Linked DNA regions of Saccharomyces cerevisiae S288C. The protein of the gene in region 2 interacts with the protein of the main gene of each other region in a biochemical or structural test. Each region holds a gene or a part of one and is shown on either strand. Other genes may lie near its edges. The genes, in order: UBC6 and SSM4.

What was found.
Region 1: the proteins of SSM4 (region 2) and UBC6 form a complex in vitro, tested with the Saccharomyces cerevisiae proteins (4 studies listed by BioGRID, with this or other methods).

The regions. Positions count from the first base shown.
Region 1 is NC_001137.3:348,833-362,921, reverse strand, and holds UBC6 (E2 ubiquitin-conjugating protein UBC6), read right to left. Parts: upstream 3,361-14,089; coding exon 2,608-3,360; downstream 1-2,607. Other genes in the region: AST2 (Ast2p), read left to right, coding at 1,128-2,420; ribose phosphate diphosphokinase subunit PRS2, read left to right, coding at 3,861-4,817; putative ubiquitin-specific protease UBP9, read right to left, coding at 5,192-7,456; SHC1 (Shc1p), read right to left, coding at 9,686-11,224; recombinase RAD51, read right to left, coding at 11,740-12,942; PUP3 (proteasome core particle subunit beta 3), read left to right, coding at 13,576-14,089. UniProt on the Saccharomyces cerevisiae protein: Catalyzes the covalent attachment of ubiquitin to other proteins. Functions in degradation of misfolded or regulated proteins localized in the endoplasmic reticulum (ER) lumen or membrane via the ubiquitin-proteasome system.
Region 2 is NC_001141.2:295,550-312,767, forward strand, and holds SSM4 (E3 ubiquitin-protein ligase SSM4), read right to left. Parts: upstream 4,461-17,218; coding exon 501-4,460; downstream 1-500. Other genes in the region: SUMO protease ULP2, read left to right, coding at 1-188; EMA17 (Ema17p), read right to left, coding at 5,280-5,708; EMC5 (Emc5p), read right to left, coding at 8,130-8,555; cohesin subunit IRR1, read right to left, coding at 8,928-12,380; ATG45 (Atg45p), read right to left, coding at 13,053-13,622; Zn(2+) transporter YKE4, read right to left, coding at 13,837-14,877; protein translocase subunit TIM44, read left to right, coding at 15,616-16,911. UniProt on the Saccharomyces cerevisiae protein: E3 ubiquitin-protein ligase which accepts ubiquitin specifically from endoplasmic reticulum-associated UBC6 and UBC7 E2 ligases, and transfers it to substrates promoting their degradation.

The DNA.
Region 1 (14,089 bases), on a different chromosome or scaffold from region 2:
TTGCAGTACCTCCTCAACGCTAGTTAATTCTCATATATTAACCTCAAATGTTAGGTTGCATGATTTCATTGCTCAGGATGCATGCGTTAGAATTTATGATCTAAATATCCATCTTGCTAGCAGTCTTGACCGCCACAGGTTTTTAGGTTTCTCCTTCTACTTTCTCATTTGCTGGGTATCAGAACATACGTTTTATCGTGGTGTGTTCAGTCTCCTTTCAATGTTTGGTAAGTAAAAATCATAAATAATAGCTTTTAACAATATGGTGGTAAGTTTCACCATTGAGTACAATACGATGGGCATTGGAATGCTGGCAAGCTCGTCCCGCAGAATGGAAGTTTCAATGTCCACGCTGAAGCAGGACCCTTTCCTGCCTAAAGCAATGCCCGTTCGTAAGGAAGTTAGGCGGACTGTCCCTCCCCTCTACCCGAGAAATTTCTCCTTCCTCTCTGCCCACTTGGGCTGGGCAAGTCGGTATCAGGCAGAATCTCTGTTCGGGCGAATTGTCGACCGATTGTGCTCCGCGAACTTTTAGTAATAGACAAAAATATTGAAATATATTGTATGGGTTTAAATTTCTTGGATGTCAAGATGTTTCGCAGTAAAAACTTTCACTCTAATGACGATAAAATATGACTTTGGTTATTATGCCCAGAAGTCGGTAGCTAAAGATAAACGACAGGCTTCAAGTAAACTTTTAAGCGGTGCATAGATTATGTACATTAAGGATTCACTCAGCCTAACTCTTTTTATTGAGTACATTGCTCAAGGCGATACAAGTCCATGAATTTACTGCTTGAAATGGAATTACTCACAACGAGGGGAGAACCAATAATATCCGTATTCGAATTTCTCTGTAGGTCAAGTTCAGTTTCTCTTAAGGGGGAAGTTTTGTTGTCAAGTCGAAGACCTACCTTAACTTAGCCTTTTCTTGCGTCCAGTTGACCTTGATTGTAAAACCTTCTATCGCCATTATTCATCCTATTTTATGATTTTCAGACATCGCCCCAGCTATACACAAAGAGAAGTATAAAGGAAGGGATGCACGATTATACTTAAGTTGAAGGGTACATTACGCAGGAAGTAAAGACGTAACAATCAAAAGAAAGTTAAACTAGCATAGAAAGATGGCAGAGAAAATCTTGGAAAATAAAGACCCTAAACTAGAAGCGATGACAGTGGACCATGAAGTTTCAGCGCCGAAGCCAATCCCCGTGGATGAACCTACGCTGACTAGAGTCGCCAGACCGTTAAGACATGTAAGACATATTCCCGTTAAGTCATTAGTTTTTCATTCTAAACACGGTCCCATTACTTTTTCATATGAGAACAAAATTAAGTTGCCCATAAGTAAAAACAAACTGGTAGTTCAAGTGAACTATGTAGGTTTGAACCCTGTTGATATGAAGATTAGGAATGGTTACACCAAGCCTATTTATGGTGAAGCCGGCATTGGAAGAGAATACAGCGGAGTGATAACACATGTCGGTGATAATTTGACAAATAGATGGAACGTGGGTGACGATGTGTACGGCATTTACTATCATCCCAAGTTAGCCATTGGCGCCCTGCAAAGTTCGTTGCTCATTGATCCGCGTGTCGATCCTATTTTAATGCGACCCAAAAATACTCTATCACCAGAAAAGGCAGCAGGCTCCTTATTCTGTTTAGGAACAGCACTTAATCTGTTAGCTCAACTAAAGGAGAAGGATCAATTGAATACAGAATCTAATGTTTTAATAAACGGTGGTACAAGCTCTGTAGGGATGTTTGCTATCCAGTTATTGAAGCGTTACTATAAAGTTTCTAAAAAGCTAGTAGTGGTAACGTCAGGTAATGGTGCAGCAGTCCTGTCAGAACATTTCCCGGATTTGAAAGATGAAATCATTTTCATAAATTATCTGTCATGTAGGGGAAAATCTAGTAAACCACTCAGACGTATGTTGGATACCGGTAAAGTTGTAGATTATGATGATTTTAATACTCTCAAAGAAACCGAAGATTATACTCAGGGTAAATTTAATGTCGTGTTGGACTTCATCGGTGGTTATGATATCTTGAGTCACTCGAGTTCTTTAATTCACGCTAAAGGTGCTTATATTACAACAGTTGGTGATTATGTTGGAAATTATAAGAAAGACGTCTTTGATTCTTGGGATAACCCTAGCGCCAATGCAAGAAAAATGTTTGGATCAATGTTATGGTCATACGATTATTCTCATTTTTACTTTGACCCCAATATCAAGATTATCCCCAAGAAGAATGATTGGATACATGAATGCGGCAAGCTGCTAAATGAGGGAGTCGTAGATTGCGTTGTTGATAAGGTTTATTCCTGGAAAAATTTCAAGGAAGCATTTTCCTATATGGCTACACAACGTGCTCAAGGTAAGCTTATAATGAAAGTTGAAGGTTTTTGAAATGGGAGTTTCTGTCTCCCTAGGTTTCACCTCATTTTTATTGAGGTTTCTTGGTCAATACATACTCAAAAATATAATTAATAATTCACAATGTTCATAATAAAAAGATCCGTTTTGTCTATATAATACTATTGATTTCTATTCTGTGTTGTCAAAATTTATCTAAAGTTTAGTTCATTTAATGGCTTCATTTCATAAAAAGGCCAACCAAAAACAAAAAAATAGCGATACCAATATAAACCATTGAAGAACTATCATTAGGTTCTTTGCCATCTTTCTTGGAATTATTTTCTGATTGTCTCAACGCTTGTTCAGCGCGTATTCTGTCTTCAGGGTCTAGAATTTCCTCCAACGAGATGACTTTTTCCTTCGCAGCCTTTGTAAAAGGGTCTTCTGTTTCATCACCTGTATTTGCCGCATCCCCCTCATCCAATTTTCTCTTTTCTAATGTCTCTACATTTTCCTGTACAACTTCCGGAAAAATCAATTTGAATCTAACATTTTGAAAAGTGTTATAACTTATGGAATTTCTTGCTAATGTCTTCTTCTGATGGTCTGATGTTGTAATTGATCCTGTCGTGGCTTCATCACTGGTCATGAAACTTAGTAACCCGTTCAAAATGGTTGAGACAGACCAGCCAGGATTCCAAGTATCAGGGTGGTAATCACTCATAGAAAGGCATAATCGTGTGTTGGGCTTGAAACGTCCATTCGGTGTTATCATTCTGATAGCCGGTGGTTTGTATGGATAATCAGACGGGAAAGTTAAAGTACCGTGATATTGACCGCCCTTGTAAGGAGTATCCGCAGGTCCTGTGATAATATAGTGCCACTCTAAAATATTATCTTCGTTGGGGCGAGCAAGAATATATGGTGGAGGGTTTTCCACCATCAACTTGTACTCTTTCGTCAATCTCTTGTGAGCCTGCTTTGTAGCCATTACTATTGTACGTACTTTGTTTGCAATTTGCGAATGCGGTTTTAGTTAATATTTAAAGTCTTTTCTGCGATATGCGATGGTAGTCTTCTTTATCACGGCTCCTAAAGTGTGATAATCGGAAAGTTCCTTTCTGTTCTCTGCAATCGATTTCGGCTTTTTCTGAACACAAATAACCAAAATTTCCTTATTTTATTGGGGAGGCTATCCTAATTGTAAAGTGCAATATTGCTGTGGAAGGATATCGACTCAAGCGACCAGTGGAATAGGATGGCGAGTTGGCTAGTTTAGCTCTCTCCGACATTGTTGCTATTGAACAGATACGGTATGCCCGTGTATTTATCCTCCTACCAAATCGCGCAGCAAAATGGTTAAGCACGTGACTATTTTTCAACAATGAAAAAATTTTGAACAATAGATGATATGAGGAGGCATCGAGGGATTGCTAAGAAGAGGATATTCCTCATCATCCAAAGACTATCTTGTCGTAAGTTTCGTTGAATATGTCTACAAACAGTATTAAGTTGTTAGCTGGTAACTCACATCCTGGGCTTGCTGAGCTTATTTCCCAAAGGCTTGGTGTACCGTTATCTAAAGTGGGGGTATATCAGTATTCAAATAAAGAGACGTCTGTTACAATAGGGGAAAGCATTCGTGATGAAGACGTATATATCATCCAAACTGGTTACGGGGAACATGAAATCAACGATTTCTTAATGGAATTACTTATCTTAATTCACGCTTGTAAGACGGCATCAGTCAGAAGAATTACGGCAGTAATACCAAATTTCCCTTATGCTAGACAAGATAAGAAGGATAAATCGCGGGCGCCCATCACTGCGAAGCTGATTGCCAATCTTTTGGAAACTGCGGGTTGTGATCATGTTATTACTATGGATCTCCATGCTTCACAAATTCAAGGGTTTTTTCATATCCCGGTTGATAATTTATACGGTGAACCAAGTGTGTTGAATTACATAAGGACCAAAACAGATTTCAATAATGCGATACTGGTATCGCCTGATGCTGGTGGTGCGAAAAGGGTGGCTTCTTTAGCGGACAAGCTGGATATGAATTTTGCCTTGATTCATAAGGAGAGGCAAAAAGCTAATGAAGTTTCGCGAATGCTGCTTGTCGGTGATGTTGCTGGTAAGTCATGCTTGTTGATTGACGATATGGCTGACACGTGTGGTACGCTGGTGAAAGCCTGTGACACATTAATGGATCACGGTGCTAAGGAGGTTATCGCTATTGTCACACATGGTATATTTTCTGGCTCAGCTAGGGAGAAGTTAATAAATAGTAGGTTATCAAGAATTGTTTGCACCAACACGGTACCTGTTGATTTGGATTTGGACATTGTCGATCAGGTGGATATCAGCCCTACGATTGCAGAAGCTATCAGAAGATTGCATAATGGAGAATCAGTCTCATATTTATTTACACATGCGCCTGTTTAAAGAAGAGGTATAAACGAATATATTTGTATAAATGTACTAACAGATATTTTGAAAAAAAATGCGTATATCTATTCAGTATTAGCGCTTATGCTGCCACCAATATTCTTCATCTGGTCTCTATGAGATTTTCATTAAAGCTTAATCTTTTCTGATTTACCGCCCTTGCTTTTGGAAAATATGTGAAATTTTATTGTGCTCTAAAAAAAAAAAGTTATTACAGTAGGTGAAGTGAAATACAACTAAATTCGAAAGATCAGGAACAATAGAAAGAAACGTGGAAATTATTTAAAAAAGGAAGAAAAAATGGTACACTAATATTGATACTTTTAGAACAGATGGGTCTCAACTATATGATGTATCGAAACAATCCCGATTTATTTGATGAAGCTCAATATTCTCGATTTTCTTTTTTGCTTATTGCGTTTTTTATCATTTAATGGCGTCTTGGTTTCTGCAGTCTTAACTTCAGGTATATTCCCCAAGGTCTTTTTGCGTTCAATATTTGCAGCTGCCCTCAATTTACGATCCCTTAACCAATCATCGCATTTTATTAACTGTTCAATGTTATTGTCAGTCTGCATTTGATCTTGACTAGAAGTGTCTATATTTTCATTTTGATTTTCGGTCTTATCAGCCTGTGTTTCTTTATAGAATAAAACGTAGGCTGTAGTTTGATCACCTGGATGACCTGTGAATTGTAACACAGTTTCTTCTTTTATGGATTCCACCGTTTCGTCATCATACAAAAGCCACCCAAACTTTTCGTTCCTGCAAATGCATACGTAATGACCATGCTGTGGACCGCTCCCCATATGGATGACGACGCCGCTTAGTTCATATTTTTTATATACTGATGTATTAAAAGTGGAAGAAACATCCAAAGTTAGTGGATAGAGTATTTTGTTAAAAAGTTTGATGTTTGACTTTTGCTCCTCTGAATACTTGAATCTTTTTAGGTGCAATGACAGAATATGGGGCAGTTGCTTCAGTCCGACCATACGTTCTGCTTCTTGTAAACCATAACATTTGTTACAATAAAATTTGTTAACCCCGTTCAACATCTCACGCTGATGATAGCTTTTTAACATCTTCTGGATATCAGTCTCTTCATCACCCTGTACTTCTATTGGAAAGTCTAAAAATGGTTCGTCCCTTGAGGTGATATTGTCACAAGTTAAACATTTGATCCTATTCGTCAGTGTACCTTTGAATAAATCCGTTATAAAGTTGTCGTTGCTGTTGTCTGTCTTTTGTGGTCCGAATCTCATTCTGGGATTATTGCGTTGAATATATTCACTGAAATCATTTAATAAAAAGTTTAAAAATTCATGGGCATCTTGTTGCATCATAGTGTTGAACAAGACGTTTTCTTTTTTTAAAATTTTGACAAACTCTGTAGGTGAAACGATACCGGTTAGCGACAAGTTTTCAGTAATAGACTCAAATATATCTTTTAGTCCATTGTAAAGTGTAGCTTCCTCGGTTGGATAAAGTAAATGATCTACGTTAAGAACGGGGCCTCTAATTAAAGCGGCTTTTTTTCTTTGTTCACTTGTTGGAAACGTATTCTCTTTATTATTATTAGAATTGTTGACAGCATCGTTACAGCTCTCAGGGTTAACAAGGACATCATCATCCACTGATGTAATCCTACTGCCTTGTGAATCACACTGGCAATGCGAATTTGCTTGACAATCTGTAGTTGAAGCTTTTGATAAGGAATCGCTTTGCTTTAAAAGCGGTCTTCCCACAATAATTTTTTTACAGCCTTCGTGAAGCTTCTCTGTTAATGTATCAGAGGCCATTACAACTGTGTGAACAGGCTGAGGCCGTTCCATCTCATTGTTATCATCTTTCTTTGCAGAATCTTTATAGTTCGATTTATCTTTTCCAAAACCCATAAACGAGTTCCTTTTTCTTTCAAAATTATTCTGTTTTTCTTGAGTAGAAGAAGAGGAGTTATCTTGATCACTCTGCTGAAGGTGGTGGTGGTTATGTGCATCTTCATTATCATTGCTTTGGTACCCCGTATTAGAATTTCCGCTATTAGTAGATGTTTCAAAACTTTCATTAGTGAATACCCTTATTTTTGAACCCTTCAAATCACTTTTGCGTATTCTGTTTACTGCGGCTACTCTTTCAGGATATCGCAGCACATTACACCTAAATTCGGGGATATTATAAAGGCATTGTAGAACGGAGTTGCAGTAGCAAGTATTCCCAAAATTTTCATAACCAAACACTTTATTGGAACCATCCCCATATGGCATTAAATCTGTAATAGTAGTAAATAGTATGGAGGACTCTGTATCGAACGCACGATCTTCATATGTAGTCGAGGAATCGTACTCTCTTTCATCTGAAGTACTTGCCATATTATGGTAATGCTCATGGTAATGTTTATTTCCTGCAAGGTTATCCGTTTGACTACTAAACTTGCTTCTTCTTTCATGGCTCGCAAGATTAGAAGGTATGCTTGATGTACTACTCTTAGCACTTGGTGATTTCGCTATGGAGGGATCTCCAGAACCTTTCGTTTTCTTCAGGCTAGTTGCTTTCCGATTAATTTCGTCATTACCTTGAGTGTTCTTCTCCGGGTGTGACTTTTTCCTATTCACAGATAACCATCTTTTTATCATTTTTCATATGGAAGACTCGTTGCCTTTGGTAAATGTTTTAATTTTCTGTTTATTACTGATAATGCAAATACTTTTTTAAGGATCGAGCTAAGGTTTTCGACACATTCAAGCTTGTTCAAGCGAAAGGTTGAGTTCGCCCCTAGAAGTTTAATAAAATCGGAAGTTCCAAATACAGCTTCGATGGACCTTATTGAATGCAAGAGAAACGTTTTCTTGTGGGGGGGGCGTATATCGTTTGGAAAGGAACAGAAGTGCAACTTTTTCAACCCATAATAGAAATCGCGCATTGACATTAATAAACGCGATTTCCGGGGTAAAAACCGCATATAAAGTATATATGGCGTACAGGAGCCCAACTGCTTTTTCTTTTGCTGAAGGACAATTGAGATACGACAGCGTGATGCTTTGTTGGAAGGTGGCTCCTAACCCCATACATACACTGTATGATGTCAAAAAAGTACTCCGATACGGGGAGTCGAACCCCGGTCTCCACGGTGAAAGCGTGATGTGATAGCCGTTACACTATATCGGATTACAATACACGTATGTGTTGCATCTCAAAATGGAATACGTCAGTATGACAATACCCACCTAAAATATTCATAAAACACATATTGAGATGTTGGTGAATTTTAAAATAATTGTTGGGATTCATTGTTCGTAAACGCTATAATATTGCGTATACAGAATATACTAGAAGTCTCCTCGAGATATGGAATCCATAAAAGGAGAATCTGTTGGAACGAGAGTAATTAATAGTGACATGAGTTGCTATGGTAACAATCTAATGCTTACATCGTATATTAATGTACACCTCGTATACGTTTAAGTGTGATTGCGCCTATTGCAGAAGGAATGTTAAACGAGAAGCTCAGACAATACTGAAGCTGTGTTAAACACCTATTAGTTGAACATGTTATGGTAGGTACATATATGAGGAATATGAGTCGTCACATCAATGTATAGTAACTACCGGAATCACTATTATATTGGTCATGATTAATATGACCAATCGGCGTGTGTTTTATATACCTCTCTTATTTAGTATAAGAAGATCAGTAATTATTTCTTCATTAATACTATTTTTTTACCTCTAATTATCAACAGAATCGATAAATCTACATATTGTTGTTATTCTTTTTTCTTCCATTTTATATGTTCTCGTTTATTATTCTATCACGATCTGAGTCCCTGCATTTCGGCCTCCATTAAATTTGATGAGTGTTTCTCAATTTTTTATGTCATCTTCCCGCACCGTATATGATTGTATACCAGTATTATGAATATCAGTACACTAGTTGATAGATGATGGCTGATTCCTATTCCAAGAAAGTTTTACTTAAACTTTTATATTTCTACTATAGGTTCTTGTCTGAGTAACGGAAACCACCTGCTCTAACAAAATCTTAGTTTAGTTCAAGGTTACATTTGCTGCATAATCGTTGTGGTTCTGGAGTTTTATCCCGCAACGAAATTCTAATCTATGGTTGAAATTTAATTATGGAAAAACTCATTTATGATGCTAAGCAAACAGGTCTTAGTGTGAGGGGGCATTGATCTTGAAAAATAGTCAATCCTACCCGCAGAAATTACTCCACAAAGGTCTGAAAGGAGACGCTGTTGCGTATTTGATCAATGAGGTGTATACCTCTTATCTTAAGCGGTATATAATAGCTTTATATCCCGATACTTGAATTATGCTTATGTAGGAAGAAGTGACACTGATTGCTCATTTGTGCCATTATAATGTAAGCGTTTGTTTTACAAGTGTTAGTGAAGGTACAATGTATGTTATTATTTTTTTTCTTCATCGTTTCTTTTCAAAAGGATGAGATTTTGTTTTAAAATATTACAGATTTCCGCACCAAAAAGTAAATATTATGAAAAAGACACATTAATTTCAACGCTGGGAAAGTAAATAAGTATAACGTCGTATATGATAGAACTAAGAAAGGCCGTGACTTAACTGGTCCATAGCCAATGCCACGGCATTAACGATAGTAGTGCTCAAATACATCTAAAAATGCAGCATATAGGATCTGCGCTAAATAACAGAAGGAGTTTAGTCAGGTTTATTTATTCGATATACAGCAAAGTAACAAATAGTAACGAAAGGTGTGAGGATCAGTCTATTTTTGATCAAACAAACTTCTAAAGTTAATCGAACTTCCACAGTTTGTGAAAAAAAAAACAACAAAATAAAAGGAAAACGAAGTTTGTATTTATCTATTAAATCAACTTTTTGGCTGCCACAGCTTCATGGGAGGTTTTATGATATTTCTGTGCCGAAGGAGGATGTCCTCGCGAAACAAACCCTCCACTTCTGCGAGCGTCTTCTAGTATTCTTGCCGATTCAGTATGCCCTAAAGCCGCCGCCTTCTCATACAATGCCATAGCATAATCTGGATCCGAAATGATAAGATCTTTATATCCCGTCATATAAATATTGGCTAATTCAAAAGGAGCACCACAAACAAAGCTGCTAGCCATAGATGTAGCCCTTCGCAACCATCTATAACCATCCATTTTGGTTAGAATATCATCTGGAAGACCCATCAAACCATGATACGAATATACTCCTAATTTGTACATTGCTGCAGGATGGTTCTTAGTTGCAGCAAAAGTCAAAAAGTTAACCGCCTTCGGTGCATTTCTGGTTACACCCAAGCCGCACTCATAGCAAATGGCAGTTCTGTAAACACTTTCGATGTGCATTCTTTTGGCTGCAGCGGAGAATAAAAGAAATGCTCTTCTATTCTTTATTTTACCGAAAACTCCAGAGGAGTAGGCGTCACCTAGAAGGTACTGTGCATCAGGGTATCCAACGGCACTTAGTTTCTTCAAAATAACTTTGGCATCGTTCACTAAATATTCCTTTAAAGAATCTACAGAGAAGCTATTGCTTTCATCCTCCAGTTCCTTAACAAGTTCGTGTAGTTTTTCGGTATCCAACCCTACCCTTAAAATGTATTGTGCATACTGAAAATTAGAATATATGTCTTGAGTTTTCTTAACTACCTCCCCGTACATTTCAATGGTTTTCCATCTTGGTAGCAAGCTCTTCTTGTTTTTCTTGCCAAGGTGAAATTTGGCCACATTATGTGATTCTGATGCAGTCACCTCATTTGTGAGGCAAAGACTATTGTAAACGTTAAAATCTAGTGACACATGTCTAGGAAGTGAAATGGAACTTGTACTTCTATTGATATCGTTTGAAGAGCCTGATCCGCTTGGATTATTCAAAAAGTCCAAATCATTCGATTGACTAAAAGACAGAGCGACAGATTCATTCTGAGAGGGAGGGGGCTCAGCGAAGTCGTGAAACTCGGAATTACCGTCTGCCGATGTGCCATTTAAAATTTCGGATGAAATTTCAGAAGCAATTTCAATTTCACAAGAACCTTGTGATTTTTCCTTCAGTGAGGAAGAAGCATCGTCCTCAACGTCGTTCTCAAACTCGTCCTGCTCAGGAAGAATCTTTCTTGTGGGAAAAGAGTTATATTTTTCAATCAATGAGGGCGAAGCGTCGATATCCATCGCATCCTCACCAATAGAGGATGAAATTTTTTCTTTATCATTTGTAAACACATCACCTGAGCGTGAAATATGAGATGAAACGGATGACCAGTATTGACGAACTTCTGGTTTATTCAATATCAGAGAGGAATCAGAGGAGAATCCGCTTGATTCCAACTGTTTATCAACCTCATTATAAGCTCCAATTTCAGGGTATGCACCAGGAGTATTTGAGCAAATAGTCATGGACATTATGGGTACTGCCTGATTTTAACAAAGGGATACTCGTAATGTCAACCGTACTTCTCTTGCTGTTAGCAAAAGTATTGTTCTATTCTTTTTTCCAAGTACAATTTTTTATTCAATTTAAAAACGTCGAAACGAAGACAAGGAAATTCATTGCCATAAAGAAGTGTATGGTATTTTACGTTGGTTTTATAAGAGGATGGCGACATATCAGAAAATTTTTCTCTTCACTCCCCTAAAAGGATAAAGCCGCGCGGACCCTGCAGGAGGAAGTAGTCATCGGGAAGAAGAGTAGAAAAATACATATATTTCATGGGTGACAGACAATACGAAAGTTATTTAAAAGAACTGAAAAAAAAGGTTAAGACCGCAGTAGGGTTGCGAGGTATATGACAAAATATATGCAAAAATCTAAGACAGTGGATGGAAATGAAGATAAAAATGTACGGAACGCAACCTAAGAAAAAGAGGAGAATTGAAAGTAAACCTGTGTAAATAAATAGAGACAAGAGACCAAATACCTACTCGTCTTCTTCTCTGGGGTCACCAACACCATCTTCATAGATCGCGAACACACATTCAGCCTCTGGTAAGCAAGGTGAGTCAACAACTTTGCATAATCTTTGACATCCCTTACCCTTTTTGAAACCTAATCGCGTGGTGGAAGAATGTGCCATAATATTACCACCGATAGGCTTCTTTGGATCTGGATTAAAAGCCATACCACCATCAACTTGGGCGACCACTTGGTTAGTAACGACGACTGCAACACCAAATTGGTCGGCCAGCCTTTGCAAAGCACGCATAAATTTGGCTAAATGCATTTGCCTTGCGCTTAGTTCACCACGACCAGAAAAATCCGTACGGTATAGAGCCATAACAGAATCGACCACAATCAAGGAAAACCGAGACTCGCTCATCATTTGGGCAGCAGCATCCAGAAGTCTTAACTGATGATCGGCGTTATAGGCTCTTGCATACGCAACGTTGTTCAAAGCATCATCCGGGTCTAATCCGAACCGCTGAGCTATGGATACCAATCTTACCGGCCTGAAAGTACCTTCGGTATCGATATACAAACACTTACCTTCACCGCCACCAATATCCAATGGAATTTGGCATGTCACGGCCAAAGTGTGACATAGCTGGGACTTACCTGTCCTGAATTCACCGAAAAGCTCAGTAATAGAACCAGTTTCCACACCACCACCCAAAAGAGTGTCCAAATTCTTAGAACCCGTTGTCAAACAAATCAGCTCCGATCTTCTCATATGAAAATCAGCAGCCGTGACAAATCCCATAGGCACTAGCCTTGCCGCTTCGTTTAGCAACTTATCTGCCTTAGCTTCCGATATACCTTTGATTTCCAATAAATCCTTTCTGGGAGCATATGCTACCGCTTCAGCAGTGTGAAGCCCACTCTCCCTTAGTTTTTTCACATCCGCCATAGTAATCCCGTTCACTTGCAGTTTTTCTATTGGCACAAACGAACCTAAGGCAGCTTCATCGTATGCTTCATCCTCCATTTCACCTTGCGCTTCCGCTTGCTCCTGCAATCCGCCACCATCGCCGGAGCCGTTGGTGGCCTCAATATCTTCGCTGCTACCGTTGCCGTTTCCATCAACGACTGACTGTGAAAGGTCTGCTGGTACAGTGGACATCAACGAACCGTTCCCGTACTGAAGCTGTGACTCTGATATATGTTGTTCTTGAACTTGAGACATATGACGATAACAAATTAGTAGGCCTTTAACAAATAACTACGTCTGCTCTTTGTCGCTACACTCAACTACTAGTATATGGAAACTACGGAAGATAGAAGAAGTAACTGAGAAAATTTTTTCTCCAGTCCCCACTATTCCCCTTTATGGTCCCACCACGCGTACTGTAAACAAACCAGGACAGAAATAGCGGAAATGACGCGTAGCATAGGGTAACGAAGTGTGGCCTAGTCGTGGGATATGGTGAGACGGTGATAAAACACTGATACAACCGGTTGGAATGCTCAGGGAATGCTCAAGAAGGCCACCTGTTGCAGGATAGCTAAACTAGATTGGTTGAAGAACGGTAGTGGTGCATTTCCAACATTTACCGTCCATTTTAATTTACTCTGTGACAATGATAAGCCAGATCGCTATTAACGTGGTGTAGTCATGTGACCGGATGGCACTGCCGGTGGCAAAAAAGTGCAAATGCAGGGGCGATGAAAAGAGAGGAAGAAAGAGTTTATGGCATAGTAGAAAGGCCAATTAAATCGGGAAGCTGCTAAGTAAGTTTGAACCGTAGTTTCGAAGTAGAGTGCGTTTCTTGCGAATTGTGGTGAAAATATTGAACAGTGAATAAAGCATAAAAAAAAAATGTCGGATCCAAGTTCTATTAACGGTGGTATCGTCGTTGCGATGACAGGTAAAGACTGTGTGGCCATTGCCTGTGATTTGCGTCTCGGAAGCCAGTCACTAGGTGTGTCGAACAAGTTTGAAAAAATCTTCCACTATGGGCATGTGTTCTTAGGGATTACCGGTCTGGCTACCGACGTGACTACTCTGAACGAGATGTTCCGCTACAAGACGAACCTATATAAGTTGAAGGAAGAAAGGGCCATTGAGCCTGAAACGTTTACCCAATTAGTGTCAAGTTCACTTTATGAAAGAAGATTCGGTCCATACTTTGTGGGGCCGGTGGTAGCAGGTATTAATTCCAAGTCCGGGAAGCCCTTTATTGCGGGATTCGACCTAATCGGCTGTATCGACGAGGCCAAGGATTTTATCGTTAGCGGTACTGCATCCGACCAACTGTTCGGTATGTGTGAGTCCCTGTACGAACCTAATCTAGAGCCAGAAGATCTTTTCGAAACTATAAGTCAGGCCCTAC
Region 2 (17,218 bases):
AGTTGGTTGATATTGATGATGTGGCATTTAGTAGTCCAACTAGGGGTATTCCAAGAACCAGCGCGACAAGCAAGGGATCAAATGCACAACTTCTCTCTAATTATGGAGATGAAAATAACCAGTCTCAAGATTCTGTTTGGGATGAGGGCAGAGATAATCCTATACTCTTGGAAGATGAAGACCCTTGAAAGCACTCGCACGCATAGTTTTATATTTTTTATTCTTTTCCTCTTTATTTTTATTTTTTTAACATTCTCGCATAATAATAGTAACAGCAATAAAATAACTAGTAATATACATACTCACATAAATAGGCATATTTTTTATTTTGTTCTTTCGTATTCAGAATGGTAAATTTTTCTAATGAAATGTTTTACAAAAATTTTTTTTCTATAATTCTAACAATAAGAAATAAAACAGTGGAAAAACATATAACTTAATGTAGATATATATATGTAAATATGCTAGCATTCATTTTAAATGTAAGGAAGAAAACGCCTTTAACTTTCATCTGGTAAATTTTCTAAAGCTCTACCCTTAGTGTAAACCTCGTCTTTTACATTCTGTACAGTACTTTTGAACCATTGAATGAACAGCACAGTTGCTTGGAAAAAGAACGTAAATGACTCTAATGCTATCAGTAGTCCGAAATAAATATCTTGCATCCTTGTCCATGTTGGGAATGATTCGTTAAGCGATAAAGTGAAACTCCTGGATCCATGGCTAATATCGATAATCTGCTTTGTAGAAACATCACGTAAAAATACTAAGGATAAAATAATAATCGGCAAGACGTAAATTACCATGTGCAGGAAACCTTGTTTAAACAGTTCCAAAGCCATTGTTTTCAAGAAGTTCAATTTACTAGTATTTCTGTTTCTGAAAAATAGTTTCAATGACTTATATCCGGTTCCGAAATTGACCATTGACGAAATGATCCAAACGACGAATAACAAACTCTCGTCATATTTAAACCATTTGGAATTACCAATAGTGTATGAAGAATTGCCAAACACTCTGATGGTGAGATAATTGTAACAGGCTAGTATACCATCGGTTAAGACGACCCACGAAACCATAGTTCTAATAACCGCAATCATGATAGCTATAAACACCATCAGGTTATACTTCACCAACATACTATCAAATATACTGTTAAAGATGGCCATGAAAATTCCTTGACCCTCTTCCACATTATTGATATTATTAACAGGGGCATTGTTGATATCTCTCTCTGGTATATCGTGTTCCACTTCCTCTACTTCGTTTTCGTCAACGGCATGTTCATCGAGAGTGTTTTGGCCTTCTGTAAAATGAAGAATATCCTTAGCAATCTTGGATAAACAAACAGATCCGACACAGACATAATAAATGTTCAAATAGGAGTAGCTAATGTCAGAGAGTTCCTTCCATGCAACATAGACCTTATTTCTTTCACCTAACAATAGCTTTACGACTGGAAGAAAGCCGAAACTACAAACAAAGTTTATTAAAGCTTGACTAATAAATGTAACACCAAGCATTAAAATGGAAGCAAATAACCAAACCAGGCCAAGCAATGTCATATAGCGTAAACGGAAATCTGGAGGGACGTAAACGATATAATATTGATCATATTCCGTGTTTTGTTCGTCTAAATAACCAAATTCACCAGCAGCACGTTTGTTTCTCTCTTTAATTCTTTCCAAATCTAATGGTTTCAACAGCTTATCATCCTTTGTAACGGGGACAAACATTGTTTGTACATAATTTCTGGATACTATATCAGAAGAAGGAACACGCATTAAAACGCCATCGGGGACAAAATAAGCATGAACGTCACGAACTTGCCCAAACAATTCTTCTGCTTGTTCTAGAGTCTTTGGTTTAGTGAAAAGTTCTTGGTTTGACCATTCTGCATTCTTGGCAGCAATGTACTTGTAAAACAAATTGCGGTAAACAATATGGCCTCTCTCTGTTGGGGTATCTTTACCTAAGATAAAGGATGATAAACGTAATTTTCTTGAACATAACTTAAAAATTGTTTTCCAATACCTTTCCAATAAGGGTTTAACGTAAGAGCTAGACTCCAGGATCCTCTTCGTAAAATATAAAGTTAGCAAAATTGTATTGAACTTCCATGAAATAATTGATGTTGGTTTATAAGCTTCAGGAACGGATAATAAGTTCGATTTGAGCATGAATGGGAAAAAAATTCTAGTATGGAAGCCAAAACCTAAGACAATAAAAATCGCATAAATAAACATGGATAAGCAAAGCCTTGATAATTGAATACTCATCGGATGAATTAAACTATCATGCAAGATCTTAATATTAGGATCTTCTGGAGATCTGATAAAGAATAGAACACCTGGTCTAATGATATTTTTCCTAATCATTCCGATATATTTGGCAAACCAATACATGTAGAGAGTACCAATCGTCCAGTATACGAAAAGGGAAAATGGAGGCCATATTGCGCATATTGAAGGAACCCAAAGCATCCGACTATTGGATGCCAGGATTGGGCAAAATAATGAGAAATCTAGCATTACACCAGCTAGAATGGGGAATCCAGCCAATTCGATGAAAAATAAAGTGAACACCTTGAAAGTGCATTTGAGTGCAAATAAAATCTGGAAAATCAGCCTTCTAGTAGGGTTGCTCATTCCGTTCTCACGGCCATAACCCCTCGAGACAAGATTGGATGAAGCACAAACGATACTGACTGAGGTTAGATACGTCGTTAAAGCAGGTAAAGCTCTGATGAAAATTGAGTGCTTCATGGTGTTTTCAGTGTAGCCGTTGTAAAGATAAATGATGTCATGAATTAAGTGGTCTGAAATCCAACTCATCGCGACATCTACTTTAGGGACCAGTTTCGTCAGCCCATTGTAAGCTATATGAGCGCCAGACAAGTAGTAAAGATGGCACAACCCACGCAAAATAACCTTAAATATACCAAAATAAATTTTCAACAAACCGAACCCAATAAAAGTTGGAAACAAATAGGAAATTGCCAGGTATATTGCGGTGAAAACTACGGCAATTATGAAATAAGCAATGACATTCAACAATTTCAATTTGAGATTTATCACTAGAGGGCCTTGTCCTTGATCGTCTGGGTTAGCCTGTGCTGGTGGCACACCAACAGCTGCGCCAAAGTCTTGTTCGTCTTGATCGACATTTCCAGCTCTGTTTTGGGCAGGTGGTGGGATGAAAACCGGAGCGTTGGGCCTGTTTATTGCGTTCTGTTGAGCAGCGATTAGGTCATCAAATTCATTTTGCGCACGACGATTTGCCCACATGTCAATCGGATTGGGCTCTATATGATCACGGTAATCTGCCTCTTCTTCTGGTTGCTGCTGTTGCTGTTGCCCCTCTGCTTCTTCATCTTCTTCGTTGTCACTTGAAGACCCCGGTAAAATTCGTGACGAATCATCACCTGATGGTAAACTATTGTCAGAGTCGTTGTTCTCGTGCTCTTCCGTAGCCTCATCATGATCTAATTCGTCTACGTGGCGAAGGTTTTCAAAATTCCGATGGTCATTAGGATCCTGAGGTGGAACGTTATCGTTTCTGGGATTAATAACATTATTATTATTATCTGCTGCTGCGGCTGGCATGTTCAGTCTATCATGACCTTGCTCTTGACGATTTTCGTCATGAGCTCTCATTTCCCTCGCTAAATATTCAACCATTCTATCATCCATCATGGGGAATCTTTCCTTCAAACGTGATTTCAAGTCCTTGGGAGATAATCTTGGACCTATCTTGTGGAAAACCATTTTACTGAAAACATCCTCTCTTACTATCATATCGTATTGAAAGTACAATGCTATATGTAGTATCACTATCATAATAAATTGTAAAGACGTAAACGAATGGTTTTGTAAAAGTTGGTAAAAAATTGCTCTCGTGGTTAATTCTGGAGTTGCTGACTGATCATAACCATAAATCAAACTCTTTAGGAAATCACCAGGATAAGGGGATGATCCATCTAGCATCATGGTGTATAATTTTCCAAACATGTTCCATACCAAAGGAACACCGATAATATATAGTACAGCGGCCAAACCAATCGTTAAAGCCAAACGAGCTTTTTCGAAAAATGTCAAGATGCTCTTGGATAGTAGTAAAGAAAAAGGTATCTTTTCGGGCATGTTTTCCGCATATATCGTTTTGAATTGAATGGGATAGTGACAGATGTCACATTTAACATCCGCGCCTGGTTTTGAAATGTCTATATTTTTTGAAGCTACCCATTCCAACAGACAGGATTCATGCATGTATTTAATTGAGCCCCTGCATTTACAAGGATGGAAAAGAGGATTGTCCTCAGTAGCTTCTCCACGACAAATACGGCAGGTGGCGCCGGATGGCGCATCATCATTGAAAGTGGCGGTATCTGTTTCCTCGTTTGCCACCTTATGCAGTTCATCTCTTAACCTGGAGACATTAACGTCAGAATCAACATCCATGACTTTCACACTTCTAGTCTCTTTGATTCAATTAGTGGTACTCTTGGCTAAAAAAACAGTTTTTGAAATCAGTAACAAAGAACTATTCTTAACGTAATCTTATGGCTTCATAGATCGGTCATAATCATCTTTTCAATGTCCTCAATCGATGCGTTTTCAACCAGTTTTCCGTCTCTAATGATTTAATTTTTCTATTGAATTGAAAATGGTAAAAAGATAGCCCTGTAGGGGGCTCGAACCCCTAACCTTATGATTAAGAGTCATACGCGCTACCGATTGCGCCAACAAGGCTATTTCGTTGGAAAAACTACTTATTTTAGGAAGTAATAGCACATTTAAGATGCTTGTTGGAATGAAACTTTAAAATATCATCTGTTTAGTACTATTCATGTTACTAATTAAGATATGGGTGAATTTTGAGATAATTGTTGGGGGTTCCATTGTTGATAAAGGCTTATAATATTATGTATACGGAATATACTAGAAGTTCTCCTCGAGGATCTAGGAATCCTCATAATGGAATCTATATTTCTATATACTAATATTACGATTATTCCTCATTCCGTTTTATATGTTTCATTCTCCTATTACATTATCAATTTTTGTATTTCAGCTTCCTCTAACCTCGATGACAGCTTCTCATAATTTACGCCATCCTCTTACACCGCATGTGATGCTATTACTACTAAATAGATAACATTAGAATTTCATTCCAACAGCTTTAGTCTGTTTTAATAAACGCAACAGCACCATAATGTTATTAATTTTAATAAAGCCAAATTATGGCCTGCTGATTTCTTTTCATTGGTAAAAGTTCTATCACCCGTTCCCCATTAGTATGATAACCGATAAATAAACTCTATTACCTGGTTTCTTCGTTCCAGGAACGTTTATACCCTGACTACACATTTCTTTTGAAAAATAGGCCAATTGAACAATTAAGTTAGAAGCGGTTAGAAAAAGGTATAATAGGAAAAAATGCATCCAATTTTTACAGTTGAACCACTTGGGGGATTTTATTCTCGTATTGTAGCGGGAGCATTTTATCTTCGTACATCTTGGAAGCTGTAGATTAATCTTATTCCTATATGCTCCTTCAATCCACACAGCAAACCCCCAAATGGAAACGATCACTGAGTATGTTATAAACCAGCTTACGCTTATACTATTATCAAAATTCAAAAGATTGAACGGGGAAAATGGTAGAAATGAATATTGAAGCATTTTCGCAATGAAAATTAACCGCATTGTTTTTATAGTAATTCTGATGGCTAACGGCGGTAATACAGCATCCTTACGAAGAGCGGGAATAGTTCATTTGCCCTCTTTGATGGTTTGCATAACTGCGTTGTTGATTGTCTTAGGAATGGAAATATTTAACAAATATACCTATAATGAAAAAAGGGTCCTTCTTTTTAATTATTATTGGCAGCGAAAAAGTTGTCCCAGCTTCTACTTTTTTTCCCGTTAAAAAAGGAAGCGGCGGAAGCTGATCTACTCTCTAATAATAGACTACTCACTCGCATCTTGGTAACGAGTCCCTTTAAGATCTTGGTACATAAAGTTTGCTGCAGCAAAAAGGGCTTATTTGCGCATTCATGATATTAAACAACACCCTGTTTAGCGTGTTAATGATCCTTGTTTTATGCCAGTATATTCTGTATACCTTATAATAGAGTCAACAGTTAAATCCTAATCATTACCTCAGGACTTACCTATTTCTGAATATCATGGTCCACCATTCTACCTCAGTGAATTGATTGAACCGCACCATTGGAATTGTCATGGTGAGCCAGCGTGCTACAACTTCATGATTTTACGAGCTGAAAAAACACGCCCTTAGGCATAAAAACTCAATGGAAATCTGTAAAACAAAATAAATTTCGCTTTTTAACTTGGCCTAATGGGAATACTTTAACAATTGAACCTGTCACTAAATCAGAGGAAGTACATGCCTAATTACTCAAAGCTGTATTTAACTAATTTACCTATACTATCGCCAGGCATTCAAGGATGAAGACATGCGTCAATGCAAATAGTGACGGCTGCTGCATTAAAGAGGTGCTGCGTGGTGTAGAAAAGGCAATAACATGGACGATGCAAGGTTATTCAGACGCGTTGTTTGTATGCCATTTCCAATGATAATGTTGGTTGCGTTATATAGAAATGTGTTAGGAAGAGATTCTACAGTTGATTGCAGCTTTGACGTTATACTTACACCTTGGATAATGGCCAGTATGTTTTCCAAACGTATGGTGAATTGGTCTAATCCACGTCAAGCTGTTTTAAAAGTATGCAGCGCAGCCGTGACCTCCCGGATAGTTGCCAATTGGTTGTTTACGATGAACATATTATATACCAGTGGTGAAAAGGGTTTTTACTCGCTAGCAACAGCTGTGGTAATTAAAACGGTCACTGATGGGTTTACGGTGATACGGGTTTTCTCTATTCACCTGAACGAGTCAGTATATAGCAAGCCATTACCATAACATTGGGTAACGTCGCACGCAACACAGCTGCGGGTGTGTGTGGTGATTGGTTAGTCAATTGGTCATTTGGGCTGGTAATAGGGCATGTTCCCCTTACAGCTTGTACTGTCTCATTGGGGTTTGCTCTTATTGCTGGAATAATAAATGGAAAGGTTAACGACGACACAAATGGTTTTCGACGACCAAAACAAATTAGCAAATGGCAACCTTTTGTATTAGGGCTAATTAATGTAAGCGATGTTACCATTTTGTCTATTTCTGGCGGTGGACTGGTAGCTTCTTCATGTGGAGGTGCAATAGGCTATGCTACTGTCATTAAAACTGTTGCTACCACAAATGCACGTTTCGCGATTACTGAGGTGATCAAGGAAATAGTTATTCGTTATTCATCACAATTAAATGCAGAAAAAGTTTGTGAAGAATAAAAAACTCGAGCCGGGTGGTAAATTGTTTTAGTACGGTTAGCATCGGTTTAGTACCTGTACCAATATGTGTCACTTTTGTTATTTCTGCAGGCGATAATACTTATAATAAACGCATACATGATATCATAACTGCCTTTATACGGCACCTTACAACTAGCATGGGCGTTCAAGTGGTGGAGAACTATTACCTGTTCCTGAAATAACAGAATGAATCATCAATAAGGGCTTGTCTGTACCTCAGGATGATTTGAACAAGTTCCACTTACGCTAACATGAGGATGAATATCGTACTTATACTATGTAAACTGGAATAGAAATATTCCGAACGGTTATCCATTAGAGTGTTAGCCCTCAAACCGAGACTCTCGATAATATTGAATAGAAGATTTTACCACTAAATTTAGTGTGTATTTATGTATCTTAATAACAAACTATCCAACGAAGACGCAAAAGATACTATCCGCCCCGTAATCCTTTTGAAACCACTCAAGCTTATGGTTCACGTTATAGAACACAGGAGACGCTTGCATTATTGGTGATTCTAATATAGCTTTCTATTCCTCTATGAAAGGCGTCTGTGTTGGTGTAAATAGAAGAGGTGCCTGGTCACCTGACGCCTTATTTTGTGCAGTTACGATGTTCGAGTAGATTCGCTATCGAATTTATGCTCAAAATCTAGCTAATCCTCTTATTAGATCTTGATATGTATATATGTATGAAATTATAAGTTCTAGCTCTAGTTTTCAGTATCTTATTTATTTTTCTTTTTTTACAGTGTTAGAGGCCCATTCCCTGCAAATTTTTCTCTTCATATGAACGTCAACAAAGCTTGGAGTAAATATGATCTCACCATTAGGGTTACTTCCTATCAAGTTATCCACGTTGGTGGCTTTATTTAATGCGATTTCTTTTAGATAGTTTCCTTGGGATATTATCTTCCCATCGTTACTCTCAATTGGTAAATATTGTAATTTCTCGAACGAAGTGAACACTGCAAGAACAAAGAGTATCAATCCTGCATACGTTTCATACATGATATCTTTAGGTAACTTGCTGATTGCACCTTGTGCATTATTAAGCGAGTTAAGTTTTAATAAGTGATGAAACTCATAGCTTGAGAAACCAGAATGAAATAACACCAATGCAGAGACTGTATAGAGAAGCTTGGAAACAAACGACATCTCTTGATAATTGCTTTTTTGTATCTCGGTAGGGCTTAATTACGATCGCTTTTTAGATGCTACAATTAACATGCATAACAACTATCTGAGTTGACTTTATTTTATATTCAAAAGTAGATTTTTCTGCGCTGCGTTTACATCGCGAGTTTTCGAAGAAGCAAAGGGCGCTTTGATGACGATTGAATGGGCTTGGAAAATACATAGCCGAATATCATCCAGCGAGTATAGTCTAATGCGAAGGGATATTTGAAGTATTTATGATTAATCAAAAACTGCTAACGAAGCTATGTATGTTCAAAAGAAAGATGTGATATATATTATAGATCTTATTGTTTTACAAAAGAGCAATAAGTCTGACGTATATCTTTTCCCTTAATCTTGTGTGATTTCGTCGCTGTTGTCTATAGCATCTACCACGGTTGGGTGTTCCTCAATTGGTGCTAACTCTGAATTATTTTGCGAACTTTCTTCAATAGGTTCTAGATCGATTGTCATGGGAATATCTGGATCATTATTTTCAGTATTTGCATGGTCGGTTTCTCGTTCACTGTTGGGTTGTAAAGGCGCTTTTTCCCTCTGTGTTTGATTTGATTTTGCTTTCTGTATGTTCTTTTTATTAGGTTCTGGATTTTCCATTATGGTATCATCTACGATTTTTTTGAACAGCGGGCCAAGCTTTTCTTTGTTTAGTGCCACACGGGAAGCAAATCGTTCATCTAAAATATTCAGTTTCATTAGTCCCTTCAATTTAACTGTGAATAAAAGGAATTCAGTTTCAATATTCTCGAAAAACCCGGTTTCCGGCAAATCATTTAGGTTGGCGTCTTCATCTGCTACCCTTTCTAATTGGACGTCAACTTGCTTAGCGAAAAGACTCTCCAAATATAAAAATATTTTCAAAAGCACTTTGGAAGCATTATCGTGAAGGTAAAATGGAAATTGTTCACTCATACTATATCTCCATGTTGTAGCGTCTGCAGGCAATTTGAGCTCAAATATTTTTATTGCAACGATTATATCCATTAATGAAGTGCAAGCTGACCATTTTAAGTAAAACAAGCTGTTTATGTTTTCAAATGTTTCGTTTGTAGCCGCCAATGAAATAACGAGTGTGTTTAGACGACCTATTATAGCGGCAATTGGTTTCCAAACTGATCTAAGATCTTTTGAAATAGAATTCTCGTAATCCCTTACTTTCTCTATTATTTCTCTCCATTTTTCCAGATTCCATGTGGCTAATAACACTAGCATTTTAAAGTTTATTTCTTGAGCGGTACTATCATCAAAATCTTGAAACATTATAGGGATACGGGAAACAAAATTGTTCAAAAACAGTTGCAACAACTCTTCATCAACCTCGATTGGGTAATCCCTGCCAAGAATTGTCAGTTTATTGATGTAGAGCTCGTACAAAGAACAAGTTAAATCTTTGTAGTCGTCCCTAGAATTATTTGGATCCATTTTTTCCTGTAGAAATTTTTTTAAATGAATTTTCAATGTAGCTATCTGGTTTAAAAATTTTTCCTGCAGTTCCTTTTTTTCAAAATGATGGATATGGTGAATGAATTTAGCAAATATATCGTACTTCATGTCAACTTTTGAATTCCCGATTGTAGAATCCATAAATGCTTTAATAGTTTTGTCGGTAATTTTTTTTAATTCAGTTTCATATCCAATAGATATCCAATCATCCAGAGAAAATGTGATAAAGCTCTCTAGGAGAGGACACAGAATATCAGCAGATTCGATGGATGCGGCATTCAACAAATCGTAGAATAAAGGCAAAACTATTTCCTTAACGCTGTCCTTAGTTTGGATTTTGGGGTTGTTGGCACCTGCACACAGACCGTGGAATACGTTCAGATATAAAATAGTGCTATTTCTGTCAATGGGAAACAATGGAGTGATGTCCAATTCCTCATCGTCAACATCCTCGTCATCGCTGTTATTATTGGCCGAGTTTTGTAACTTTTGGATCAGTTCATTTGATTCAGTGTCAGAGATCAGCAGATTGCAAATAGTTTTCAAGTGAGTGGAAATGTAAGGAGACAAAAACTCTGCTGCTTGTGTTAGCATACGGATCTTTGTCCTTGAATCAACTTCAGCGCAATCCTTCAAGTGATAAATTAAAGAGTCATTCAGAATCTTGATAAATATACCGACTTGAACAACGGGTCCAACTTCTAACCCGTCGACTTCTTTGGGCAAGTCTTCATGCGTCTTGATGAATTCGTCAAATTTCTCTTTTATTACTCTTGCTAAGAATTTGGCCACCGTGGATAGAAATTTGGATCTTTTATTGAATGAGGATGTTTTAAATGGGTCGAACTCTTCATCGAACATTAAACTAGAAATGATAAGAATCTCAGAATCATCTAAATAGCCCAATGATGACGCCTCCGTTAGAACTTGGATACTATGGATCCTTACATCAAGATTAACGTCACGGATTGCCACTTCCAGGATCTTAGTTTTGAAGCGTTCAAATACTTGGCGTATAGCGGAATTATCAGTGGATTTACTGTTATGATTTTGGATTATTAAATGCGGTAAAATCTTCGTAACTTGTAATCTGACTGATACAGAGTTATCGCTCAGCAGCCAGCCAAAATATTTTAAAAATGTAACCTTGAGGAAATATTCGGGATAGTTTTTAATCCAGATGGATAGATGCAACATGGATTCTGAACGAATCAAATCAGACACGTCCTTATACCTATGCACAAAACATAGTTTGACGATGTTATCGATAATGCTATCAATAACGACTTTGCTGCCTTGAGTTTCGGCGATAGTGCTCTCTAGCTTTTCTAAAGTCTTGTTATTGGGCCTTTTTTTCTTCTCTTCTAGTGATAACTGCTTGGATAACTTCGCCAAATAATTCTTTTCTAAATTAACAGCCTGTTGGGTCAAATAGTCCTGGAAAAGATATAGCGTTAGCGTAGAAATGTATCTGAAGCATCTGATTTTGCAAACTGAAAAAGAAGACAGCCAAGTCAACAAATCCAACACAAGATTACCAGTAACTATTTGGGTATCATCTTCGTCCGATTCCACGTATAGTAATTGTAAGTCATTTGCCACTTCCAACAATTTAGTCATGAATTCCGCGAAATTTTGATAAAGGGGACCCATTTTAAAGTTTTTTCTCTTTTTGTTTTCCTTGCTAATCAAGAGGTAAAATTCGTGCAGTTTCTGTCTTTGAAATAGCAACTGAATTTCACCAATCGTTTCGTTAGAAGATTCATTGCTGTGAACGTCGTGGTCTTCGACGCGAGCGACGGAGCCACAACAATTCAATAGCAAATTGATAAATTCTTGTAAAAATTTATCTCTATTTTCAGAATAGGTTTCTAACCATTCTCGCAATAGTTCTTCAATAGAAACATCTTCTGAAGTGGATAATATATCAAACAATTCTGTAGGTTGGAAATCCTTCGCAATTTCTAAGTATTGATCCTGATCTTTTTTAGAGCGGTGATAAGCAGGCGCATGAGATACCGCCGACTTCTGGGCAGAAGTAGGTTTTTTCTTCTGCCTTTTACTACTGGTATTTGATGCTGATTTGGGCTTTCTCTTTCTAGACTTTCTCTTTGCCGTAGCGGTATCTACGTAGTCATCATCATCCTGGTCTTCATAGTCATCCTCACTACTACTTTCTTCACTTTCACCAGTATCTTGCTCTTCTTCTTCTTCATGTTGCGTTTTGGCAGTGATCTTATCAGATTCTACGTGTTGTGCGCTGGTGTTTTGCTCGTCATCGTAATCTTCCTCAATAACTTGAGATTTAGTCCTTATTCTAGTTGAGCGACGCACAGCAGTCATGTTACCTTCGTCCGAGCTCTTGTTCTCAGGTCAATCGCCTTTCTTTATTATTTTTGTTTACTTGAAGCTTTGTTCTCTTTAATCAATATAGAGGAAAGGAAACAAAAGAATCATCTTATCTTACGCGTCACGCGTCGCGTTGCCGTCAGAGATGAGAGTAATAGAATAAGTTCTAGGCAGGATAAGTACGAGCTTTACTTCATGCTGTGCTGGATAAAGCACAACTATCTAACTTGTGTGCTAATCGTCTAGCTGACCTTAATTTACTCTCCTATCGGTAGCAGGCTGCTTTTTTTTTCGTTACGAAACTTTGCTTTGATGAGGATAGACAATAAATGCTTAAAAACAGAGCTTCGTAGGATGAGTCGATTAGACGTTTAGTTGCTTGCAATGTACCAATACGCAAACCCCTTCCTTTTCCTTTTTTAAATTGATCTTCCTCTTTTACATAAGCAGTAATAATGCCAGATCTTTTGCCGTTGTCTGTTGGAGCCTGTGTACCTCGGCGGCTAACAGCGATGATTATTCCACGAAATGAGATGCTCACCTTGTGATATAAGTGAAAAGGAATAAATCTATTAAAAATATGTATATCTAAACCATAGCTAGATAGAAAAGAGAAAATTGAAATATATATATTTGTCATAAAAGAAACATGTTTGAAAAAGTTGTCTATTTGTTCCAGTACGTCTTGACTTTCTTGGCAATGCACATTAGCCCATTTAGAGACTCTTTCCTGCTATTGAACGCCTGATGGAAATCACACTGGATGGTTGCATCCATGTTTTCGTCCTCCATATCAGAATTCCAGCACACTATCTCCTCTGTGCTGCTTAGGTCACTATGTGACGACAAGTTGACATAATCATTTAAAGAGTCGTCTTCCGGTTTCCCTTTTGCGGTGTTGGACCGTGTATGTGGTGATAGAGGTATATCCATGAGTTGACTGGCCTCATTGTCCTTAAAGTGGAGAATATTGTTGGTGTAACCTGACTTGTCTGTGACAGTGTCGAAGTAGTTGAGAGTGACCCATTTTTTGTCGTTTATCACCACTTTGAACATGGTGCTACGTTGGCCCTTTCTTCTGGGAATTTGCACCCTGTAGTTCTGTGTGCTGCCGTCATACTGCAGAACATAATCGGAATGTCTCCAGTTATCGAATTCTCCTGTAACAACTAGTTTATCTGCCTTGGAGCAGCCCTTGATCACGTCTTCAGGGATCACAAGTAAAAAATTGGACATCTTTAAAACAGTTGTGCACGCCTTTAAACCGATCAATACTGTTCTTGTTTGTGTTTCTTTTTTGTATTAGGTCAGAGATAAATGTTTGATCTGATCTGATTATCGCCTGTTTTTGCCTTAATTGAAATCCGGGGAAGCGTCGGTACCATATAAGGCAACAAGGATATTTACTATAAAGGTACGTATATTGCACGCCAAGTAATACAAAGCTGAATCAATGCTCATCCATGAGCGCCATAACGGCAAATCCTACAAAAATGAAGACTAGCTGCAAGGCCCACTTCTTAAACTCTCGAAGCTTGCTATCGGGTGCGGAGCTATGTAAGATCTGCGGTACAACGCTAGTAGTGGCTATGTATATGAGGCCGCCCGCCGTGAACGGCAGCATAAGTTCAGATGCGTTCGCGGATGAAGACGTTGCTTTATGGCTGTTGTTCCCGATTTCGTTCATCCAGCAGCCAATGGACGTTCCAACGACGGCGCCGAAAGCTGTCACCGCTTGGGCTCTTATCGCTTGTGGGAACGTAAACCCACTGGAAAGCAGAATGGCGAAGTCACCTAGCTCATGAGGGATCTCATGGAAAGTGACAGCTATGCTGGTCATTATGCCAACTTGTGTGGAACTATAGAATGACGTAGCCAGCGCTATGCCATCCGTGATGTGATGAGCAATGCCGGATATGACATTCAGATACGCAGACATGTTAAAGCCCGCTTTCTTCTCTGCAGTTTGTTGTGGAGTATGACTATGAGAATGAGAATGTATGCTGCCGTCATCGTTGGACGTCCCTGACAGAATACGCATCGTTTTATCCAGAGTCAAGAAGCTTATAAACCCCAGAAATATGGCTCCTCCAACCATTGTGACATCAGTTACGCCGCTGAGACTTTCAGGTATCACGTGTAATAAAATATCACCCAGGAGTGTTCCTAGAGAAAAGGAAACTAGTAAGGACAGTGTCAAGCTGGCACGATCGTTCTTGCGCAGTCCAGGAACAAACAGTACGAAAAGACACGGCATAAGTTGTATGATTAGGATAGCCACAATCGCATTGTAACGGGGTCCCAGGACAAAGAGGTGGTTCTGCAGAAAGCAAACTAGAGAGTAAAAAATGGATTCTTGCTTCAAAATCAAGAAACTTTGCTTGGACTCATGGTTTGCCTCGTGGCCATGATCTCGATTATGATGTACTCCATGGGACACCACTAGGGGTGCAATGCTTAGCAAATAAGAGCAAATGTGCGACGCCTTCATGCTTTTTCTGCTTCTGTTCTCCTTCTATTTCATTCTTATTTTCTTCTTTCCTTTTCCACCTTTTTCCTAAGACGTTTTTTTTTTTCAGTTTACTGTTCTATGGAAAGGGAATGAATAATAATCCGGAAAACTATATATTGGAAGAACTGGCACAGTTTGGTTCTCCGCAGAAATTCTACTAAATTACGTATAAATTGTGTATTAGAAGAAATTCAGAAACGAAATATCTGAACAGACCTACTTTAGTATTTTTATATGATAACTTTTTGAGTTGTATCCTTTTCTTCATTTATTTTTAGAAACTTTCTTTTTTTGGCCATAACATAAAATTTAAATAACGACGCTGAAACAAAAAGAAAAGAACACCACGACTAATAAAACAAAATTAGAACATTATGATTAGGTACTTCTTCAGTACGCTTTTCAAGCTACTTCTTACGATAAGTAAACTTCTCACCTGTAAATACTAGTAACGGTAGCAACCATACGGAAAACCATGTTCAGTTACCCGGCCGGGTGTTTTTTTCTCTTTCTTTTTCGCCCACTGGAGAGCCTCAGTCATATATGTCAAAGAAGACTGGTTGAGTAGCATGGGCTTCGGAACCAGGTTTGAAAGTACCAAGTATAATAAGCCCGCAAGTAAGCAAAAGTTGGGATAAGAGGGCAGGACCGAGCTTATAGTGTTTCGTTTTTTTATTCCTGAATTTTTCACTACCGCAGCAATTGCTATTTCAGTTCATGCACAGATCCACTTTTATCAGGACGTCCGGCACGAGCTCTAGGACACTAACCGCAAGGTACAGATCGCAGTACACAGGATTACTCGTTGCCCGAGTATTATTCTCCACCTCTACGACCCGTGCGCAAGGTGGAAACCCTCGATCACCACTCCAGATTTTCCGCGATACATTCAAGAAGGAATGGGAGAAGTCTCAGGAACTGCAGGAGAACATAAAGACGCTGCAAGATGCTTCGGGAAAGTTAGGCGAGTCTGAGGCCTACAAAAAGGCTAGGGAAGCATATTTGAAAGCTCAGAGAGGCTCCACAATTGTGGGTAAAACTCTGAAAAAGACCGGTGAGACCATGGAACATATAGCCACTAAGGCCTGGGAGTCCGAACTCGGTAAGAACACAAGAAAGGCGGCTGCCGCCACGGCGAAGAAGCTGGATGAGAGTTTTGAGCCAGTGAGACAGACGAAGATTTACAAGGAAGTCTCAGAAGTCATTGACGATGGGGAGAGTTCCCGATACGGTGGGTTTATCACGAAAGAGCAAAGGAGACTTAAACGTGAGAGAGACCTGGCCTCTGGGAAAAGACACAGGGCAGTAAAGAGCAATGAAGATGCAGGAACAGCAGTGGTTGCGACAAATATCGAGTCTAAAGAATCGTTTGGTAAGAAAGTGGAGGATTTCAAGGAGAAAACCGTGGTTGGCCGTTCTATACAATCTTTAAAGAACAAATTGTGGGATGAAAGTGAAAACCCCTTAATTGTTGTCATGAGGAAAATAACCAACAAAGTGGGCGGTTTCTTTGCAGAAACAGAATCCTCCCGTGTTTACAGTCAATTTAAGCTAATGGACCCAACCTTTTCGAACGAAAGCTTCACCAGACACTTAAGAGAATACATTGTTCCCGAGATTCTCGAAGCGTATGTGAAAGGCGATGTCAAAGTTCTCAAAAAATGGTTCAGCGAGGCGCCATTCAATGTTTACGCCGCCCAACAGAAAATCTTCAAAGAACAGGATGTTTACGCCGATGGCCGTATCCTAGATATCAGGGGCGTTGAAATAGTGAGTGCAAAGTTATTGGCTCCCCAAGACATCCCAGTCTTGGTGGTCGGGTGTAGAGCACAAGAAATCAACCTTTACAGGAAAAAGAAAACTGGCGAGATTGCGGCTGGTGACGAAGCTAATATCTTGATGAGCTCTTATGCCATGGTTTTCACCAGAGACCCAGAGCAAATCGACGATGACGAAACAGAAGGGTGGAAGATCTTGGAGTTTGTGCGCGGGGGTTCTAGACAATTCACCTGATTGGTTTCGATGTACTCTTTTGTTTTCTTTTCCTTTTCCTTCCTATTCCGCTTGTAAATAACTCCGTTATGTCTCACCTTCGATCCCCACTTTTTCTTTTGGAATACTGCATCAAATAGGAAGAGAGAAAAAAGGAAATCATATCCCAATATATTTGAACATACGACACGATATACCTTATATAGTATCATCTGTACTAATAGTACTATAACTAATACTTCTTGACGGACAAGCTTCGCAACTCGTTCGCAATGACCAAGTTTGGCTTTCGGGAAGCAAAGTGGAAAAAAATGAAAAATAAACTAAT